2 linked regions of the Pelodiscus sinensis genome follow. The protein of the gene in region 1 purifies or fractionates together with the protein of each later gene. This does not show direct contact. Links are inferred from orthologs where the notes say so. Each region holds a gene or a part of one and is shown on either strand. Other genes may lie near its edges.

The links. The genes of interacting proteins can lie anywhere in the genome.
Region 2: the proteins of GOLGA7 (region 1) and ZDHHC5 purify together in Homo sapiens (co-immunoprecipitation; 3 studies listed by BioGRID and IntAct, with this or other methods). This does not show direct contact. The link is inferred for Pelodiscus sinensis from reciprocal best matches to the Homo sapiens genes GOLGA7 and ZDHHC5.

The regions. Positions count from the first base shown.
Region 1 is NC_134738.1:16,480,707-16,491,458, reverse strand, and holds the start of GOLGA7 (golgin subfamily A member 7), read right to left. Parts: upstream 4,672-10,752; 5' UTR 4,656-4,671; coding exon 4,519-4,655; intron 4,111-4,518; coding exon 3,978-4,110; intron 2,742-3,977; coding exon 2,589-2,741; intron 1-2,588. UniProt on the Homo sapiens protein: May be involved in protein transport from Golgi to cell surface. The ZDHHC9-GOLGA7 complex is a palmitoyltransferase specific for HRAS and NRAS.
Region 2 is NC_134714.1:128,557,259-128,568,504, reverse strand, and holds the start of ZDHHC5 (palmitoyltransferase ZDHHC5), read right to left. Parts: upstream 5,218-11,246; 5' UTR 4,905-5,217; intron 1-4,904. Other genes in the region: polyribonucleotide 5'-hydroxyl-kinase Clp1, read right to left, coding at 9,270-9,941. UniProt on the Homo sapiens protein: Palmitoyltransferase that catalyzes the addition of palmitate onto various protein substrates such as CTNND2, CD36, GSDMD, NLRP3, NOD1, NOD2, STAT3 and S1PR1 thus plays a role in various biological processes including cell adhesion, inflammation, fatty acid uptake, bacterial sensing or cardiac functions.

The DNA.
Region 1 (10,752 bases):
AAGCCATAAAGATATCCAGCTCAGATCTCTTCAACACTCCCATTTCCTACTCAGTCAAGCTGCAAGAAGTGGAAACTAGAGATGTCATATCCATCTCCACAATCCATTACTATTTGAGTTTGTCACAAAATGACTGCATGACTGATTTCAAATAAAGAATTCCTGAAATGCAGCCATCTATAAATCTACTAAAGGGTTACTACAAGAGACACACCAGTTCAGTTTAATCAAATTTAAGTTTTGATGGATGAGCTTTCTGGCGAGGTTTTAGCTGCAATATTATGTATTTAGAATGCTATTCTGATTAAAGAAAATGACAAGATGATTACATTATGGAAATCTACCTTATCTTGAGAGTGTCAAATTATTTATAAAAATAACTAGATATTCAAACAAGTTACAGAGTATAGTGCAATAAGTCACAAGTCAAGAAAGAGTGAGTCATAAGAATTAATCATCTCTTTGAACTGTTCTCATTAGCATGACCATAAATGCTGCATTTTCCAAGGAGATTTGAAGTTATCTGCCTTGCCATCCCTACTCTATCTAGTTCAGTTATAAAAAGACATTTCAGCTGGTGTCAGCCCAATCTTCAAAAAAAAAAAAAAAAGAAAAAAAAATCACTCTTCTTACATAAGGTGAGCCAAAGATATCTAGCTAAATAAAATACTGCAAACCAGCACTATTTATCACCCTGCTCAGAAGGGATGATAAAGGGTTCTGTTAATATATAATTACAGCAGTAATCTTGAGCAGAATTGTTTGAAACATGTTTTTATTTCAAGTCAGTAATATTAAATCAGACTTCTTTACACTCATTTAATCCAAAGGAATGATGAATGTATTCACATATTGACTTGGCTATCTACTCATTGGCTTTGTAAACACAAAGGCTGTGTCTAGACTGGCAAGTTTTTCTGCAAAATCATCTGCTTTTGTGGAAAAACTTGCCAGCTGTCTACACTGGCCGCTTGAATTTCCGGAAAAGCACTGACGATCTCATGTAAGATCGTCAGTGCTTTTCCGGAAATACTATGCTGCTCCCGTTCGGGCAAAAGTCTTTTTCCGAAAGACTTTTGCGCAAAAGGGCCAGTGTAGACAGTACAGTAGTTTTCTGCAAAAAAGCCCCGATCGCGAAAATGGCAATTGGGGCTTTTTTGCGGAAAACCGCGTCTAGATTGGCCACGGACGCTTTTCCGCAAAAAGTGCTTTTGCGGAAAAGCATCCTGCCAATCTAGATGTGCTTTTCCGAAAATGCTTTTAACGGAAAAGTTTTCCGTTAAAAGTGTTTTCGGAAAATCATGCCAGTGTAGACGTAGCCAAAGAGCACAAAATAAAGAAGAACTGACAGTATTAAATACAGACTACATATGTAAGTGTGTACACATGGAGGTGTGACAAGTATGTATGACTTCTAGCTCTTCAAGCTAGTATGTCATGGTGTTTAAAAATGAAGCTCTTCATTTTTAAAGAGAAACTATCAGAACAACATTTTTATAATTTTAGAATGATCTCGTGGTTCACCAAAAGACTGGAAATCAGCAGTTCTGCATGAGACAAACCTATACTTGATTTGACCTAAATAATGGGCATAATATTGATTTCACAAGAAGGGCAAATGGACTAATCTGATGCTCATGAAGAAACTGGGTTTTATTTGGAAATATTTGCATGGGTGTTAGATTGTTCCCTTAGTGAATGCTTACCTGGAGCTTGGAAAAGTCTCAAATAGAGGGTACTGTATAGATATGTGCGAGAGGTAGATTTGGAGTAGTTATAGCCCACCATTCTCTAGCTTAACATCTCACCTAAACCCAAACATAAAGAAGACAAGCAGTAAAATGGTAAGATGCAGCAGAAGATGCTGAAAGGTAGGGTAAGATGCAGCAGAAGATGCTGAAAGGTAGGCTAAGAGCAGCCTGAACTCCTGAGGATTTGTGGAAGCAAATGGAACACAGGGACTAGTATTTAGTAGGGAATCAGGAATCTTTCTTGAGCTACAGAGCTGTGAAGCAACTCTCTTGATTATTAATCTCTATGGGATTAAATTGCTGAAAATTTGGTGTAAAACTCGCCAGTTTAGTGATTGCCTAATGGATTTTAAAAATGAAACATAATTGGATTTAGAAACAGTCCTACCAACTTGACACTATATGACTGATTAGTCAAAGATATATTTTTCAACTAATTAATTCTTTGACTAAAACGGCACACTATTTTTCTATGGTTATGTATAGTTTACCCTAGCAGCAGGTGATCACTTCCCGCATCTGGAAAATGACATATTTCTTTGTTACTCTCCAACCAGTGACTGAAGCTGGCATTTATTTCAAATATATGCTTATAATTCTCAGGTAGCTGAGTCTGTGCTCTCACTGATATGTCCCAGTATTTTCAGGAAGCTAGGCTAGCAGGTGAAAGCTTATTCTGTATTTGTACTATAGTAATGAACGAGGCTGTCATAAGAGAAAACCTTAGAAATAAAGTTAGAAGCTAAAGCACCTCTGCTGATGTACATAAAAAGTTATGATCCAACATTGTGATTTTCATTTGCTTTAAGTTAATTGCATGAAAGGTAACAGGCTCACCTTTTCATAATGTGTCTCCATGCACAAAAAGATAGTGTAAGCAGTCAGACAGGCCAAACATCCTTCAAGATAAGATTGACCCCCAAGCTTCTCAGCTTCTGCATAAAGGTTATTTAGAGTTTGAACTGTCTCTTCAAACTGCTGCCTATCGATCTGCAAAAGATTGACAGTAAATTGCTTAGTCAGAACTCAATCCCTAAAGCAAAGATGTACCTTCTGTGTAGAACATTCTTAATCACCAGTGTATCACCTACATCCAATTAGCTTCAAGCACAACATGGAGAACCAAGGTTGTGTTCTGGTACAGAAGGACCTCTGTGTATCATAGCTGCTATTTAACCCAATGCTAAGTGATTTAAAGTTACTAGATCAAATGTGTATTCCCATATTACACATTTACAGCCCTTATTTAAGCTGTGTTGTGTGTACAGTATTAGATTCAAAGTACAACCTACTTGGAAACTGTTGACCTGGAGTAGGGATACAAAAGTGTAACCATTTAAATGATTAGCCTACAAACTTCATCTTATTGGTTTTGGTTAGAGTTACACACAGGCTTCTTGGGAGATTCTGCAATGCATGCCACTGGTGTAACCACTAGGATTTTTAGCTGTTACATGGTTATGTTTTTAAACGAGTTTTTACATTCCTAATCTGGAGGGTGAGGTCCTCTAGATTTCAAAAATAAATTATTCGCAGGGGACATGGGTTAAACTAAACCTCATATGCTCTGACTAAGGCCTTGACTATTTTGCATTATTATGACAGAGTTGATCACTAATAACATTAACAAGGAAAGCTAAGGTGATTAGTGTTCCATACAGGACAGGCAAGAAGCAAAAAGCCCCAGAAGTGACATTTACTAGCCATAGAAGACAAGCACAACTGGCAAGAAGCATTTTCTTTCTAGCTTAATAAAATATCACAATTGCCAGCAACACAATGAAAGGAAGCACTTGTAAAGCCATGTAAATGCAAGTTCAACAAAAGAGTCCTCTCACCATCAGACAGGACTGTGGTAGAGAATACATACTTTTTCACTGACATAAGAGATGTAATTGATGATACAGTTAAAAGGGACACCTTTCCTCAGGATTACAGAGAGCATAAAAAACAAATGACTTCTAAACATGGTCAATAACAAAAGAGAGGAGCAGATAAGTCAGAATTTATACAAATGAACCACATTTTCACTTCTTTATAAAAAATAAACATGCCTTTGATGTGCTTTAAAAAAAAAGTTATGTTCCTTTGCGTGCTAAAGACCACAAATCTCAGGTACACAGCAGGTAAGCTCTCAGGTCAGCCATGTGCAGCTAGCTCAGGACTTCAATCATTCCTAATTCAATCATTCATACAATCCCAGATAAATTAAAACAAAGCTTTTACCCTGTTTTCTAACTCTGGGGGAAACTTGGTCTGGAACTGGCACCTGGTGCCGCTACTGTAGTCTCTCTGGACAAACACTTTACCAGAAACAGGTGCCTGCTGCGGCCGCATCGCACAGGTAGAACTGGCTGTTCTAGGAGAAGAAACAGAGTCGAATGCATTACATGGTCACCAGAAGCACCCTACAGCTCAGAAATACACCAAACTGCCCCCACACCTGAAGCCCCTCCATAGCTTCAAGGCAGCTGTTAGACTGTCACAGCTTGGCCCTGGCCCAGGGCTCACTCTGGGGTCCCATCCCCACAGCCCGCCCGAGACACCAACTCCCCCCACCCCCAGAACTCCCCACGCCCACGGACCCACCCCATCCCAAACTCCCCCCCCCACATTTCACCCACACTCCCCCCCGTCCCAGCCTCCGCCCCACCGCCAGGATCCAGCCCACCCCGCCCCAACCCCCCGGGCCGGACATCCCCGCCCACGCACTCCCGCCCCCGGCTTCAACGCCCTTCCTGAGGCGCTTCCCGGCCCCCACCCTTACAGACAAAGCCAGGCCCCTGCTCCCTCCGCTTCAGCGGCCGTCGAGCTCCCTCCCTTACGACTGCCGTAAAAGCACCACCCCAGTTTCGCTGAAAGCCGTAAGTGAGCAGCGAAGCCACTTAGAGGAGTCATGCGCATGCGCTGCTGCCAGGTCGCGCGACAGGCGAGTACGTTGGCCTATTGTGCGCGTGCGTCAGTTTCTGCGCCGGGAAAAGATTCTGCACATGCGCTATTCTGCTCAGGGGCGGGGGGTCTTCGTGCTGACGAGGCCCGCAGGGCCCGTTTGGCGCCTCAGGGCTCACGCGGCAGCAGAGCTCCTTGTCATGGCACGGTCAGAGGTACGGCCCGGTCTGTGGTACTGCCGCCTCGTGGCAGAGCCCCCCCACGGCACGGTCTGTGGTGTGGTCTCCCTCCCTGTGCCACACCCCGGTCTGTGCTGTGCCCCCCCTTTTCTGTGCTACGGCCCCTCCTCCTGGTACAGCCCTTCCCCCCCCCGCGGCATGATCAATGGTACCATCTCTGTGGCATGGCCTCCCACAGCAAAGTTAGTGGTACAGTCCCCCTGTCCTGTGGCGTGGCCCCCCCCATTGCATGGTCAGTGGTTCAGCCCCCCCCCCCATGGCACAGTCTGTGGCATGGCCTTTCCCATCTGTGCACAGCCCAGTGGCACGGTCTCTGCTGGCTCGCTCTTCCCATGGCTCGTTCCGTGGCAGTGCCCCTTACCCAGACAAAAGGCAGGACCATGCAGCACTTTAAAGACTAACAAGATGGTTATTAGGTGAGGAGCTTTCGTGGGCCAGACCCACTTCCTCAGAGCCCACGAAAGCTCATCGCCTAATAACCGTCTTGTTAGTCGTTAAAGTGCTGCATGGTCCTGTCTTGGCTGCATCTCTAGCACTACCTTACCTGAGAGTCATTTGAAAGGTGAATGCAGACTGATATTGTGGTATTTAGCTGGATGTCTCCATTCCCTCCTCTGATTTTGATCAAATTCTATTTTTGCTCTGGCAAGAAATTTAGTAAGCATTCAGAAATTTAGTACTCTTTTTTTTCAAAGTGCAGTGGAAACAGAGGCCGCAGTTCACAACAGTGTGAAAGAATCATATTTGATCATAATATTTAATTTCTTACTGTTTTATTGTCATTGATTGTGACTGATTTTTAACAAAGGCTTTAGATGTGATACTGGCAATTACAGGCTGGTAAGCTTAAACCTCAGCTTGGAGAAAATTGGTTGAAACTATAGTGAAACAATAGTAAATATCATAATGACACTGCCTAATTCTGTGAGAACATGCCGGTCGCCCCATCTAATATATATATATATTAGAACTGGAAAAAGTGCGGAGAAGGATATCAAAAGTGATAAGGAGAATGATCCTACACGTAGATTAATACAATTTGTTGCGGAAGAGTCAACATGGCTTTTGTAAAGGGAAATCATGTCTCACCAATCGGTTAAAATTCTTTGAGGGATTAGCAGTCATGGACAAGTGAGAATCAGTGGATATAGTTTGTACTTGGATTTTCAGAGAACCATTGACGAGGTCTCTTGCCAAAGGCTCTTAAGCAAAGTAAGTAATCATTGGAAAAGAGGGAAGGTACTGTCATGGATTAGTTATTGGTTAAAATTGTATGAGAACATGCTTGCATTACTTGGGGGAGAGAGCTTTGTGCAATGGGGGTGAAAAGGGAGCAGATTGGAGGCAGGGCATTGGGGAAGGGGTGGAATGGGGCCTTTTTGAGTCTGTAGAGTCACATTTTTTCACTTTTCTCTGCAACCATAAGATCTGGATACTATTTTTTCAATGAAAGTGGAGGCTCTCCCATAATTATGTAACGCTAGGAGCTGGGAATTTAAATCATCAAATGTTGTGAGATTTGTAATAAACTTATGAGCATTTCAAACACTGTGTTTTTGATATGGACTAAAGGGACTAGGAGCCATATGTGCTCCAGGGCTGGAGCACCCATGAAGAAGCATTGGTGGGTGCTGACCACCTATTGACAGCCACCTATCAGCTCTCCCCATCCCCCAGCGTAGCCTGCCTGACAGTGGGAGGGGATCAGTGCTTCCCTCTCCCTCCCCACACCTCCCGCCTGCTGTGATCAGTTATTTGCAGCATTTGGAGGCTGGGTGAAGGGAACGAAGAAGCAGCGCGCTGGAGGAAAGGGACAGAACTGGGCAGGAAGAGTCAGGGTGGGGGTGGAGCAGGGGTGGGAAGAGGCAGGATGGGGTTGGAGCTTTGGTGGAAGGCATGGAGTTGGAGCAGGGTTGGGGCAGAACTAGGGGCTGTGCTGGAGAGGCCTCTGTCTGAGGGGAGTTTGGACCCCCCGTGGACAGGCGCTGCTGCTTCACAGGAGCCTCTGTCCGCCATGTGCCCAGGGTTGCTGTCTACAGAGGCTGCTCTGGGGGATGCTGGAGCAGCGCCTCTGTCTGCGGGGAGCTCAGGCCCCCCCATGGACGGGCTGGGCCACCTCATGCTGTTGCTTCTGTATCAGAGGCAGCAGCATGAGGTTGCAGGTGGGGGCTGGTCTGCGCGGGGAGCTGGTTTTTAAACTGGTTCCCTTTGCAGACCAACTCCTGCCTGCCATCCAGCACGGCTGCCTCTAATACAGTGCAGCCGGCCCCACCTCTGGGACTATCGAATAGTTGTGTAACCACTAAAATGTAATGCGGTTACACGACTATTCAGTTACACTATTTCTATCTTCCCTACTTTCAAGTCCATCATGCATGAGAACCCTATGCTTGTGTGGTTCTTTCATTTCCAGTTTGTAGCCACACACTGATCTGCACTGTAAATATCATCATAATCTCTACTGATTATATTCCTATCCCTTGCTCTAAATCAACCCTAGCTTCAGACACTCTTACTGCTTGAAGTACCCTCATGGCACTGAAAATACCATCTTTAGCATGCCTGATATTACAACATCTGTTCTCTGGCATTAAAATACTATGTTCAGAAAAAATACACATTTGCACTTCAGCAGAAAGATGGTTTAGCGGCTCGGGCAGAACAGAGCTTGACTCGTGTCCTATTTTTCTGATACTTAACTGCTTTCTTGTACCTTTTTAATTCTGAATTATGACCTTTTGGTCATGGCTAAGACAAATTGAACAACTGCAACAAAATCCTGTCCATGAAAAAAGTGCTCATGCACAGACATTTAACCAGAGCAGGGCTACTCAACTTTGGAAGCTCTGGGGGCTACAATGATACTCACAGCACATACCGAGGGCCGCAACGTAAGTGTGGTTGCATAGACATGCAAATAGATATAGCTTCTTTCACGCTGACAGCCATGAATATAAAGATTAAGGCAAGAATACACAACACGCAGGCCTCATTTAAATCAGTTCTGCTGATATTAATAAAATGCAATATTTACCCGATTTCCACCCATATGACAGCACTTCTAATGAGCAATGGCAGTCCAGGAATTAAACTACTAAAACACATAACAGAAGACCATTATATTGACTACTTTTTTGTTAGGCCACGTGTTGAGTCCAGTGTAAACCCAAATTGCACCGTGGGATGCAAACAAACGGGTGGCGGGCCACATACGGCCTATGGGCTGCGTGTTGAGTAGCCCTGAACTAGAAAGTTGCAAAGAATATTCCTTGTACTAAAAGTTATTAGAAATGCACCTAGAGACATGGCTATCCTACTCAACAGCTTCTACTCAACAGCTCCTACTAAAACACATTACTTGTTCAATGCACAATGTTGTGTGCCTAGATGCCATGTTGGTAAGTGTAATAAATAATAAATGTGCTGCCTTTGGGCTTTGGGCTGAAATGATTTCTGAGGATGAAAGGTGATATGAGAAATTCACATTCTTTAATAATAAGCAGAATGTGAAGAGTGCACATTTAGCTGCAGTAGTAGTGGAGAACAGGAGTGGATCATCTGGAAAAAAATTGACAATTTTAAGTTCCTAACTCTTTTAAAAAAACTATTCTGATTGGTCATAGGCCAAGAAACACTGTTATCCAACAGAAAATGCACATCTTGCATTCCCTTAAACCTTCTCATGTTGCTTCTAAAGTAAGAAGCAAACACAGGAAATCTTGATGTTTGAAATGTCAATGGAATTCAGATGAAAGTGAACCATAAATGCTCTATGTCTCAGAGTGGTAGCCATATTAATCTGTAACTTTAAAAAGAATGAGTAGTCCTGTGTCACTTTAGAGACTAACAAAATACATATAGTATCATGAGCTTTTGTGGGCAAAACCCATTTCTTCAGGAAGTGAGTTTTGCTCTTGAAAGCTCATAATACTATATATTTTTTTGTTAGTCTCTAAGGGTATGTCTACACTGTATTCCTCTTTCGAGAGAGAAATGCAAATGCAGGTGAATGAAATTGCAAATGAAACAGGGATTTTAATTTTCCATGCTTCATTTGCATAATCGCGTCCAGATGCTATTTCGAAATACCCTATTTTGAAAAAAGAAATGCAGTCTAGACATGGTTATTTCGAAAGAAAACCCTTCTTTCGAAATTACCCTTAAACCTCATTTTATAAGGAGTAAGCGTAATTTCGAAAGAAGGGTTTTCTTTTGAAATTACCACGTCTAGTCTGTGTTTCTTTTTTCAAAACAGGGTATTTCAAAATAGCGCCAGGACGCAATTATGCAAATGAAGCGATGGAAATTCAAATCTGCGCTTCATTTGCAAGTTCGCTCAGCTGCATTTGCATTCCTCTCTTGAAAGAGGAATGCAGTGTAGACATAACCTAAGATGCCACAGGACTACTCGTTCATAAATGCCCCGTGAAAGCTCTTTATATTTGATATATTGAACTCCATCCTGCTTTTTGTGGACACTTTGGCTAAGAAAGTTGATAGAGATTGGTCACAGTGTATATGGCCATGAAGTCCCATCTCCACATTGCTGTGCAATTTTTGCCCTGGCTGTCACCCTTTTACCCAGAGGTGGCTGTATTTCTGTGGTTATATAATACAGGTATGAATAGAAAGAGAATTTGGGAAGTGTTTGGGCTTGTTAATTGGCTAACCTTTTACATCCCTAGGTTCCACAAGCTCTAGTAGTCAGGAAGAAAACAATTGTGTTTTGCAGAAATAGTTCGTCCAACTTTAGCGAGTGAGTTCAAGAAACTTACCATATGACCCAAGAGCCTAGACCCGTCCTGGTGGTGAATAAAACCCATAAACAAATAGGCTATGTCTACACTTGCGGCTTCTTGCACGAGTAGTATGCAAATCAGGCTAAGCATGGAATATCGCCGAGCCTCATTTGCATACCTAGTGAGCCACCATTTTTTTCAGAAGAGGCCTCTTGCACAAGAAGGAGCGTCTACACTGCCCCTTCTTGCACAAGAAAAACCCTCTTGCGCAATGCCGTTCTTCCTGTCAAGTAATAGGGCAGTGTAGACGCTCCTTCTTGCGCAAGAGCCTCTTCTGAAAAAAATGGTGGCTCATTAAGTATGCAAATGAGGCTCGGCAATATTCCACGCTTAGCCTCATTTGCATATTACTCACGCAAGAAGCCGCGAGAGTAGACATAGCTATAGTGTCTCAACTATATATTTTGTTTTGCAAGACCTCCTGTGTCAGATGCCTTCTAATGCCACAGATCGTCTTCCTGGGCTCAGAGGAACTGCTGGAGAGTAAAGAGAGGCCAAGACAGCAAGCTTCAAACAGTGATTGGACATGTCTAAGAAGAATATGAATATCCAGAGATGTAATAGTTAAGGCTAAAAAAAAAATGAGTTGAAACCCCTCATGCTTCTAACTCTTAGGGTACGTCTAGACTACATGCCTCTGTCGCCAGAGGCATGTAGATTAGGCTACCAGACATAGTAAAATGAAGCAGCGATTTAAATAATCGCCGCTTCATTTAAATTTACATGGCTGCCGCGCTGAGCCGACAAACAGCTGATCATCAGTTTGTCGGCTCAGCGCGATAGTCTGGACACGCAGGTGTCGACATCAAAGGTATTTGTCGACCACCCAGGTATGCCTCCTGGGATGAGGTATACCTGGGTGGTCAACAAATACCTTTGATGTTGCCACCCGCGCGTCCAGACTATCGCGCTGAGCCGACAAATAGCTGATCAGCTGTTTGTCGGCTCAGCGTGGCAGCCATGTAAATTTAAATGAAGCGGTGATTATTTAAATCGCCGCTTCATTTTACTATGTCTGGTAGCCTAATCTACATGCCTCTGGCTACAGAGGCATGTAGTCTAGATGTACCCTTA
Region 2 (11,246 bases), on another chromosome or scaffold:
TTTACACCCAAAAATTTCATTGCCCACCAGGCTATGATTAAGTTGTTTAAACAAACATATTGCAATAGAAGAAAAAAAATGTGTCTGAAAACTGTAGGTACTAGGGATATTTATAATTTTTTTTTTTGGAAAGGGGGTACTTTATAAAAAAAGGTTGAGAAACACTGTCCTAGGCTAGACCTAGTTGCATTATTAGTCTAGAAAAAATCATTTTGGGCCAAGATCAAGCATGGAAAACGTCAGGCTAAAATGAGATTGTTTACTGACATTTACATGTGAGTGAAAGCAGAAAGTTCTAGATGAAACCATTTACTACAATGACTATTTAAAAAGCCTGTAATAAATACAAAAGAGGCCTTTCCAACCTAAATCCACAGGGGGAGTGATAGGGTGAAGTTTAATTTATTAAAGTTTTATTTTGAGGTCTTCTAAGCAGGTATCAGAATACCCCAAAACAGACAACAATTTGGGGGGGGGGGGGGGGAGAGAGAGAAAGTAAATAAATAAAATTAAAACTGTGGGAGAGATTATACTATGAAAAGCTTCACAACTCCTCATGGGTAACACTCATTCCAAACTCACACCAATAAAACCTTTATCTTGCATAAAAACAGCCAAACTGAGTCAGACCAATGGTTCATCTGCCTATTATATTATCTTCCAACAATGCCAGATGCTTCAGAAGGAATAAAGAACATGGCACTTGTTAACGGAGCAATTCCCTAACATCCAGTTCCAACATCTGTAGAGCCCTGAGAACAGGCATGTAGACCAAATAACTACAGTCCTGTGAGGATACAAAGTTTGTATTTGTATCTGGCAAAATGAGCCACTGATATCTGTGCTGAGGATGCTGACACCCGTGAATATCTACATGTTTACATAGTGATAGAAATGTAGCCCTGTTAGTCTGGGGTAGCTGAAGCAAAATGCAGGACAATGTAGCACTCATTTTGATCTGAGGAAGTGGGTCTGGCCCACGAAAGCTCATCATCTAATAAACCATCTTGTTAGTCTTTAAAGTGCTACATTGTCCTACATGTTTACAGGGACCTAAGAACCTGGCAGTCAGAGGCTTAACCACCCTGGTTGTTAACCATTGACTGACCTCTCTTCTATGATCTTATGTAATTTTTTAAACCTTGTTATAGTTTTGGTCTTCATGGTATCCCCCATCAATGAGTTCCACAAGTTGACAGTGCGTTGTGTGACGTTCTTCCTTTTGTTTGTTTTTAATACGCTACTCATTAATTCATTGGGTGACCCATAACATTCTTGTGTTATGTGAAGGGATAAACATTTCCCTACTTGCTTCCTCCACACCATTCATGATTTTATAGATCTCTTTCATGCCCCCTTCCTGCCCTGCCAGTCATCTGCTTTTCAATTGACTGGTCCCAGTCTATCTAGGTCTGCAGCATGGGTGTACTATTAATTTATACAGTGGGCATTATATTTGTCTTATTATCTATTCCTTTCCTATTGGTTCCTAACTTTGTTAACATGCAGCAGCAGTCAAAAAGGCTAAGTGGATGTTTTCAGAGAATTATCCATAACTCCAAGATCTCTTTCTTGTGTCTTAACAGCTAATTTAAACTCCATCATTTCATATGTATGATTGGAATGTTTCCCAAAATGCATTACTTTGCATTTATCAACACTGAATTTCACCTGCCATTCTGTCGCGCTGTCACAACCATAAACACTGAGACTATAAATTTAGACATATATAGAGAGGCAATCTGGATTTAGACAGGGCAGTAATATTCAACGCATGGGTGTAATTTGGATTTATGCAGGGAAGGGGTGACATTGAGAACAGGGCATAATTTAGAATTAGAAGCACAGGGAGCAATATTCAAAGTGAGGCATTATGTGTAAAATCTAAATTGTATCCTTGAGGAGTAACTTCTCAGTTTTTTGTAAATGCCACCAAACAGCAGCATGAAACCAATCTGCCTGCCAGTTAGTTCACAGCCCCATTTAATGATATCCATAGTGCATGCTGGAAAATGTGCGCGATTGGGGGATTGTGCAGAATGGATCAAAGTGCGGCATAAGATAGAGACATCCTGAACACAATGTGGGAATGCTATGTTCAATCACAATGGGATATTAACAACTGAGGTGCACTGATTATTATCTTTGACAAAATAAACACTTTACTGTATAGCAATACCCCACAGGCTCTTGCAAAACCTGCCTGAGCCATCTGAGATTCAAGCTATACTGGATAAGTAACTTTAAAAAAGAATCCCCTCTCCTGCTATCCTAGCTTTACACAAAAAGGGGTCATTAGCCTGAATGTATTAGAATGAAGTGAATTGTAGGGTCCTTTGAGGGCTATAACTGGAAGCTATAGTGGGGTAAAGAAATCTGAAAGTGGATACAGCTGACAGTTACTCTGGCAGATGAGTGATAATTTTCCTTTGTCTATGAGCATATAATACAGGGCAGCTGTATCTGAGAAGTCTATTTTAGACACTTATCTGGTCTCCATCACCATAATAGCTGAGTGGCTCATAAAATCTGTGAGGTAGGGAAGTGCTATTATCCCCATTTTACTTATGAAAATTGAAGCAAAGAGAGGCTCAATGACTTGCCCAGGTCGCACAGAGTATCTGTGATGGAGCTGGGAACTGAAACCTTAGTCTCCAAATCCTAGGCTAGCACCTTTCTTTTCATGCAAAAGGCAGGGGGCACCAAGAAAGGGAAAACAGGTTTCATGCAGCTGTGATACTGTAATCTAGTGCAGGGAAAAGCTTAATTCAGGGAAAAGGAGATTCTAAGAGCAGGGAAAAGGAGATTCTAAGAGCAGAAAACAGGACTCGCATGAGAGAAGATGTAATCCAGGAGAGAGAAGAGATGAAGAGGGCTTGTACATCAAGGGAACACTGCATATAACCAGGGATGGAGGCAACAGGAGACAAGCTGGGAATTTAACAGGTTGTGCTGGCTAGAGAATAAAGATGTAAAACCAGGGAAATTAATAAATAAGGGATCAGACTCAACAGGCAAGAGTCCACACTAAAGGTAGACTGGGGAAGGGAGGGTTGCACATGAGCAACAGGGAATTAAACACAAGAGAGGGCTACAGGGTGGAGAGAAAGGTGGTCCCTTAACATAAATGAGTCTATGGAAGTGTCAGAGTGCCACAGCAGAAGGGAAAAATCAAACAGGGGATCAGCAAGAGTCATAGTGAGTGGGGTGATCACATTAGGGGACAGTCAGAAACAGGATGTTCTGAGTGGGGAAAGAATCTTTGTGGGACAAGGGTCACATAAGAGGGGATGGGAAAGGATATGGGGATTTCCAGATCACACAGAAATGAAGAGGTTTGATATGAGACCAGATGTCTGGGAGGCAGGTGAGCTGAGAGGAATCATTTGGTGGAGAGACCTGGGGAAATGGTGATGCTGAAGAGGGAGGAGTTATGTGGGCAGGGGTCTGTGGGTGTTGAAGGGATCTCTCTTGGGGCGGCAAGGGGGTGCTGAGCAAAGAGGTATCTGTGGATGCTAGGGGTGAGAGGAGGCTGATATAGAGCAGTGGTTCTCACACTTGTGTGTTGGTGACTCCTTTCACACAGCAAGCCTCCAAGTGTGACACTCCCCTTGTGAATTAAGAACATTAACTCCATTTTAAATGCTAGAAGTAAAGTAGGGTTAGGATAGGGGGTCTGACTACTCACAGCACCCCACCTAATGTCACAAAGTTAGACCCCCCCAGTTTGAGAACCCCTTCAGTATGGGGAGGATCAGTATTCAGGAAAAAAGTCTGGGTTGCTGAGAGGTGTCTCTCTGGAAACAGAGGAGCAATGAGGAGCAAGGATGCTGGAGGTGTTTATGGGGGAGTAGAAGTGTGGAGGCAGGGGTGTCTGGAAGTATGAGGTAACTTTGCAGGGAGAGGAACAGGAAGAAATAAGATGATGCTAAAGAGATGTCTGTATGGGCAGGGAAATTTAGAAGTGAGGCCATGTGGGGGAGGAAGTAATGTAGGGACACAGACACTGAAGGAAGTAGGGGTCTGTGGGGGAGGAGCAGTGCAGGGGTACTGAAAAAAGGAGTGGGGGGACTGTGGATACTCTACATATTATGGGTGGCAGCAGGGGCACTGAAGGAGGAAAGGGTCAGGGACTCTGAATACTGTGGAGGAGGAGCTGCACAGGGACAAGGATGCTGAAGGCATAATGGGTCTGTGGGGACAGTGGGGGGGGGCTAAATAGAAGAAACCTGTAGGGGGAGAGGCAGTGTGGGTGTGCTGGAGGAAAGGATCTCTGGGGCAATGACAAACAGAGACCTGTGGGGGAAGGATACTATGGGTGCTAACAAGGAGACTGGGGGGGGGGGAGGGGAGGCAGTGAGAAGTAGGGGGGTTGCTGATGAAACCCATGGGGGGGGTGGGACAATGTGGGGAGGGGAGGGGAGGGGAGATTAATAAGACCTGTAGGGGGAGCAAGGGGAGGATGTTGATGAGACCTGTGTGGGGACAGGGTGCACAGTAGAAGAGTGACCTGTGGGAGGGGGTGCACTGAGGAGGAGAGATGTGAGGGGAGGGACAGTGTGGGGGCACTAACGAGACCCGTGGGGGAGGGACAGTGTGGGGGCGGGGGGGCCCCGAGGGGCAGAGGCCCGTGGGGAGGGGAGGGGCAGTGTGGGGGCGGGGAGGCCCCGAGGAGCAGAGGCGGTGTGGGGGCGGGGGGCCCGAGGGCAGGGGCAGTGTGGGGGCGGGGGGGAGGGGCGCGGGAGGATGGGGCCCGCGGGCCGATCTGTGGGGGCCGGGTCCGAGGCGGGCTAGGCCCGCAGGCGGGGCCCGGCCTCCCCCCGATTTATTTCCCCGGCTCCCCGCGGCAGGCGAGGCCCCGATCCCCCGCCCCGTGCAGCTGGGCCCGGCCCGCCCGCACTCACCGCTCGGCGCCGCGGCTCCCTCCGCCCGGCCCGGCTCCCCGTGTGAGAGGCGCGTCCAGGCAGCAGGGAGGAAGCGCGCTCCCGAGGCCCTGCGGGCTCGCGCTGCGCTCGCCGGTTAGTCCCAGGCCGCGCGCTCCGCCTTCTGCCCCCTCGGCCGGCGCCGCGTCGCGCGCCCGTGCGAACACTGCCCGCCGCTGATTGGCTGCGGCGTGAGGGAGGGCGGGAGCGAGAGAGAGACGAGCCGTTGCCCATGCCCAGAGAGACGGACACCCCCGTCCGCGCGTGCGCCGCAGAGCGCCGCAATCGAGGCGGGATAGGCGCAGGGGAGCGGCTCACTGAGCACGCGCCGAACAGCCCCGCTCCCAGAACCCACTCGGCTCCAGACGCCACATTCGAGCTCGGCCCAGCAGATTGATGACCCCGCCGCCCAATCAGAGCTCAACCCCGCCTAGCGTGGGAATCTACGCACGGCTCGTGGCGGATTCGGGTGATCGCGTCAATGGACCCCCCCCCCCCGTCTCGTTCTGTTGATATTTGGGGGAGGTGCCTTATTGAAAACAATTTAAATAAGCAGCGGAGAGGGAATAACCACCCCCCCCATGACTTCATGGTACCGTTCTCTGTGACGTCATAGTATACTCCACAAACTGCAGAACCCCCCACTTCGCGTGACTCCACCCCCCCATTCCATTGTCACGACGAGCCCACCACCTGACCCAGCCTTCAGTGGGTGTGAACCCCCATGGGCCAGTGACTCATGGCACAGCCCCTCCCCCCCGCCTCCACAGCCACCCAGCGCAGCATCTGGGGAGAGTGACCCTTGCCCCGTGTACACAGCGTGGGTTATCGCCCTGCCCCGTGTGACCGAGTGGGGATTGGGTTTGCTCTGGTATGCTGTATGTGATTCCTGCTGTCCTGTACTGCTCTGTTGTAACCCCGTGTTTGCGCCTCAGTTTCTCCAGGCCTTGCACCCCCATCCACAGCCAGCTCTGACTCTCAGCTAGCAAGTAGAACAAAAGTTTCATTCCTTGATAGGGACACAGCATAGCACAAACTTGTTAACACAGGAACCAGAAGCAGATAGTCCAATCCAGCTTAGGCAGAGGGAGACCCAGGGCCAGCACCCTGGGCCCCCTCCCTGCATCCTCCACCAGCAGAGAACTCATATACGCCCCACCTCATCCCCCAGCCTGGAGGCGGCTCTGCCCCCTCCTTTGTTCAGGTTCCTGAGCAAGGTGTCAGCTGGTTGCTCTACCCACCCAGGCTCAGGTTATAGGACAGCCTGAGCTATTGTTGTGTACTGCTAAGATGGGACCGCCTGGGGTAGCCTCCCTTCAGTGACAGCCAATCCAACATTCCTATCCCCAGCCAGACACCAATGCAGTACCCAGGGAAACTGAGGCACACACAGGGTTACAACAGAACAGTACAATAGGAATCACTTTCAGCACAACAAAGTAAACAGAGTGAACACAATCCCCACTCCATTACATCCTGGCACCAGGGTTATATTGCAAGCAGGATGCCAAGCCACTCAGGTGTCCTGTAAGCAAAAATGAGGAAGGAAAAGCTTAAGCTATAAGCAGCTGATGTTTGTTAAGAGACAATGGCATGGCAAGACAACGCCAGCACACAGCAGAGATCAAAAGACTACCGTGGTTTAAAAAGGAATTTCTCCCTCCAAAGGGAGGAAAAGCAGACTAAGATGCAGGGCCCCATTGGATGAGCACTTTAATGAGTGTGGTCACAACAGCAGCACTGAGAGAGTTCTAAGTAAATTCCCTCCATGAAGAGATTACCTTACAGCCCTGGAAGCCTGTGCACACAGTTGCTTCTCAGCACTGTAACTTGCTGTGCTGGGGGTGGGAAAGGGAGGAAATTACATCTAGGGTTGCCAGGTGTCCGGTTTTGAACTGGACAGTCAAGTATTTGAGCTTTCTGTTCAGGAAACAAATTGAGAAAATATAAATGTCCGGTATTTTCTAAATAAGATATAATATTGATTGTGATGTAATGTTAAGTGTTTCCAGTATTTTTGTTGAAACCATCTGGCAACCCTAAATGTACATCCCTGACGAGAAAGTTAAAGGAGCTTCAGGAGGTAGCCGAGTTAGTCTGTTATAGAAAAAACAACAAATGGTCTGGTAGCACTTTATAGACTAACAAAACATGTAGATGGTATCATGAGCTTTTGTGCGCACAGTCCACTTCTTCAGATGACCGGAGTTATGAGAACTCAAACACCTAGATCTATATCATGACAGAGGAGGATAGCAATGGTTCCACTTACAACAGCCTGAATAAGTAATCACGAGGGCTTCAATTTTAAATTATATCATAATAGCACCTAGAAAACCCAAGTAAGACCAGGGCCTCCCAATGCTGGGTACTACACAAACACGAAGTAAGAGATAGTCTTTGCTCCAAAATAGCCACCTTTAAATGGATAAAAGACAAAGGGAGGATTATTATCCTCTTTTTACAGAGCGTTAATGTGGCCTAGAGATGTGACATTACTTGCCTCAGGTCACACAGGTAATCTGCAGCAAAGCCAGGAATTGAACCTGATATGAGGCTCCGCACAGATAAGGCCAGCTCCTGCTCAAAAACTGCAGTTCTACCACCTAAGCTGGAAAAACTCAGTCATAAAAGGGGAAAGAACAAGGAAAACAGCTGATTGACATTTCATCATGCAGAGGTATAGCACTGGTTTCTCTTTGCAGCAGCATACATACCTCAACCATGAATCCTTCTTGCAACAGCTGCATGGCATGACTGGCTTTATTTCTCCCCTCCCCCACACTCTCAAAGCCCAAAGCACAGCCAGGAAGTTACACAAGGTCTGCACATCTCTGGTAAGTGGGAAGTGCTTCTGCCTAAGCAACAGGTCCTGACGTGCGACTTATGAAGTTTTTGATCCTTAGAACAGGTGAAAACGTGAATTACCTCAGATTACAGTGCACTAATTACACTGGGGAATTTGGATATGGCCCTTCTGCCCAATTCACCATCTTTTATAATCGAATCATATAGCCAGCACTATTGCCTTGTGATCCAAGAAGTCACTAGAAGGGGTTAATCAACAGTGCCCTCTCCTGGCTAGAGGGGTTAGGACAACTCATATTCCTCAACCCAAAATCCACTCTTTTTCTTCTATTCTATAGTCTTTCCCAGCATGTCCCGTCTTCTCTCCTGCTGTAGAACCTGCAGCATTCTTCCTACCTTTTCCATTTGTAAACCTTTTGTCCCCTCTTACCCTGAAGCTCCACCAACTTGCAGTAGTTCCTTGTGATGATTTCCCATTCTAATGGCAAATTCCTGGCTCCAAACCCATTTAAAACCACTGTACAACTTTATTGCAATGGCAGCCAGTCAAGGATGAGGGCCCAAGGTGCTAGGTGTTGTAGAAACACAGAACGAACCTACTATTCCAAATATAAGATGAGACAACAGATGAGCACAATTGATAAAAAGGGTGGGGAGAGAAGGCAACGAACACAAAGAGCAGTCACTGAACACCAACTGCCCAGCTATGGGTGCTGTCCACATTATAGCACAAGTAGGCTTTCAGGGGGGAGTTGAAGGAACTGTGGATGTTAATGGGGAATTCATTTGATAGATAAGGGTAATGGGGAGCTCTTTGTTGGAATGTTGGAAATGGGTGATCCAAGCTGGCAGTAAGTCAGGACAGACATCTCCATAGTGGAGGTGAGGTGAAGGGCCTAGAAAATGAAATTGTTAGTTCCTCGTAACCTAGCTCCTGGGATGATCCACATTTTGCTCAAATGCTCCAGCCTACTTTGTGTGGCCCTATTTCATTCCTTACATCAAAATTCCCCTCTCCAAGCCCCAAGCAGTGCATCTTGTGTGCATGCACTACAGAGCTCTCTCACACTGCAAGAGGTTACACAAAATTAATCCAGTCACCAAAAAACAACAAAAGGCCAGGAAATTTATTAACATTAGAAAAATATAAAAGAATATTGATCATCTCCTATAAAGAGAAGCCCCATGAAGCGTGGGCTGTGCAAAAGCGACAACAGGTCCAGATTTCAGGGGCTGAAATCTAAGGCAGGGAAGGGAACCTAGAGAAGGGAGGTAGGCAGTGAATCACGTACAGCTACATTTAATCTCCTATTTCCTCCCTGCTTCCATCTACAAGTTAATCCACAAACTTCCTCATCTGACCGACTCTGGTTTGTCCCAATGGTTTGTTCTGCACAGCAGCCTCTATCCCTTCTCACGCTGGTTTCAAATGGTTTAGTCTATGTGGCAGTCACCACCCCCTTCATTTGGTAAAAATACTGTCCACAATGAAGATGCTCTAAGATGCTGGAGTACACCTCTTCTGCTCCAGTGCAGCCCCTACTTAAGGTCCATGAAGCGGATGTCCATGATCAGCAGGAAGTTCTTGGGCAGTGGACGAGGTGCCGGTGCCAGCACCGTGAAGACCTGGCGATCTACGTCCACCCCAGTGACAACAATGAACCCAGCCACACTGGTCTCAGAGATGTTCTCCTCACTGCCATCAGCAGTGCTGACACTCAACAAGTGGTGCACCATGTCACGGCCTGGTGTCACTGGCACAAGCTTGAGTTGATTGTCCTCCTGTGACATGCCCAGAGGCAGGCATGAGTCAGGGATGGTGGGCGCCCCCACCTTGTAGATCTTGACATCAGAGAATTTGACATCGAAGGCGTGGGGGTAGAAGCAGCCACGGAAGCCATAGAAGTACTCACGGATGCGATCATCCCGGCATTCCCGCCGGAAGTCCTTTGAACGCTCCACCACCCCACCTGACTTGGGGAGCAACACCGTGCGCACAAAATGGGGCAGGTCCCGCTTCAGCTCATTGTACAGGCGTTCCTGGTCCAGCACTACCACCACATCCACCTCAAAGGCTGAGGCTGCATGCACCAGGGCCTGATACCCAGAGCCCTTCACCCAGCCGCACGTGTTGATGACACAGCCACTGACTGAAGCCCGACGGTTCACTTCGCAGCGCTGGTTAAAAACGTCAGCCAAGCGAGATGTGATCTGCAGAGAGGAAGCAGCATAGCTAATTAGAACCCAAGAAAGATGTGCAGGAAGGGCTCCACCCGCAGTCTTTTCCTTTCTCAAGGTGTGGCCTGTATTTTTCACAGCCTGCTACCACTAGATGGTGGACTTATCACATATAAATTGCCCTGGAGTAGCTATTCAACTCAGTAGAGGAGATACCCACACAAACGTCTTTCCATTCAAGCACCTCATTTTAGATACCTAGACATAGCAAGTTCAACACGGCAGAGCATAGCTTAATACGAGATACACTCTATAAATAACTATATGATGTTTAGTTACTCAGGACTAGGGATATAAGAGGTTAACTAGTTACCCAGTAAGCAGGTGGCTTGTCAGTGTGTGTTGTGGTTGGAAAACCGGAAGATCATTGTATTTCGAGGAGTTAGTGTATCTTTCCAGTTCTCATGTCTGCAAACTAGAAAACAGGCTTTGGACTGCTGTTAGCAAGGGAAATTCCCAGCTAGCTAGCTCGTTAGAGATAGGCCCTGTCTGGCATGGCTGAGCTCATTGCATAGTTGAGATAAGCTTCCAGGTAAACAAGCCTGCCTTCGGGAATCTTCTCAAGCAGGCAGGTGTTTGTTTTGGGGTTTTTTTTCCTCTGTATGTAGTTAGTGGCTGATTCTAGAATTTTGTGTACAGGCTATATATTGTTTAATGTTGCCAACGCCCTTTGGACTTCCCGAAGGACCTGGAACTGTACAGGTGTCTTCTGACCTGGCCCAGGAGTCCATCCTTTGCTGAGTCAGAGTCCCCAGCAAGCCAAAGGGATGTTGTCAGCCTTCTCTTGCCTTTTCTTTTTATATCACCTGCAATATCTAATAAATCTTGCATTTATATGCATTAAGCTATTTGTGTCTTCTTGGTTACCCTCCGAACCTGAGAGCAGAGTTTGGCTGGCCCAGTCTCTGAAGTAAGACAGCGTGCTTTCAAGGTAACTGGTTAACTGGCCTGGCCAGCTGGATCCTGCTTGTGGCCACAGTAGACTCGGCCAGAGGTCACCTCTCTCTCCCAACCTGCAGCCAGGACTGGAGCATGCAGTGGAGCCAGAGCTGCCTCCATTTTCTGGCTCCGTCTCAGCCGCAACCCATCATGGACAGGGGGCTGCTCCAGGTTTGACCAATTAGACTTAGTGTTTAACCAGTTAATATGTTAAACGTTAAATACATCCCTATTCAGGACCAACTACTAAGCACCAGGGCATTTATTTGTTTTGTAGAAAACTAATCAGATTGGAGATCTAACACCCTGCCGACTAAAATTGAAGATAAATGATACAGG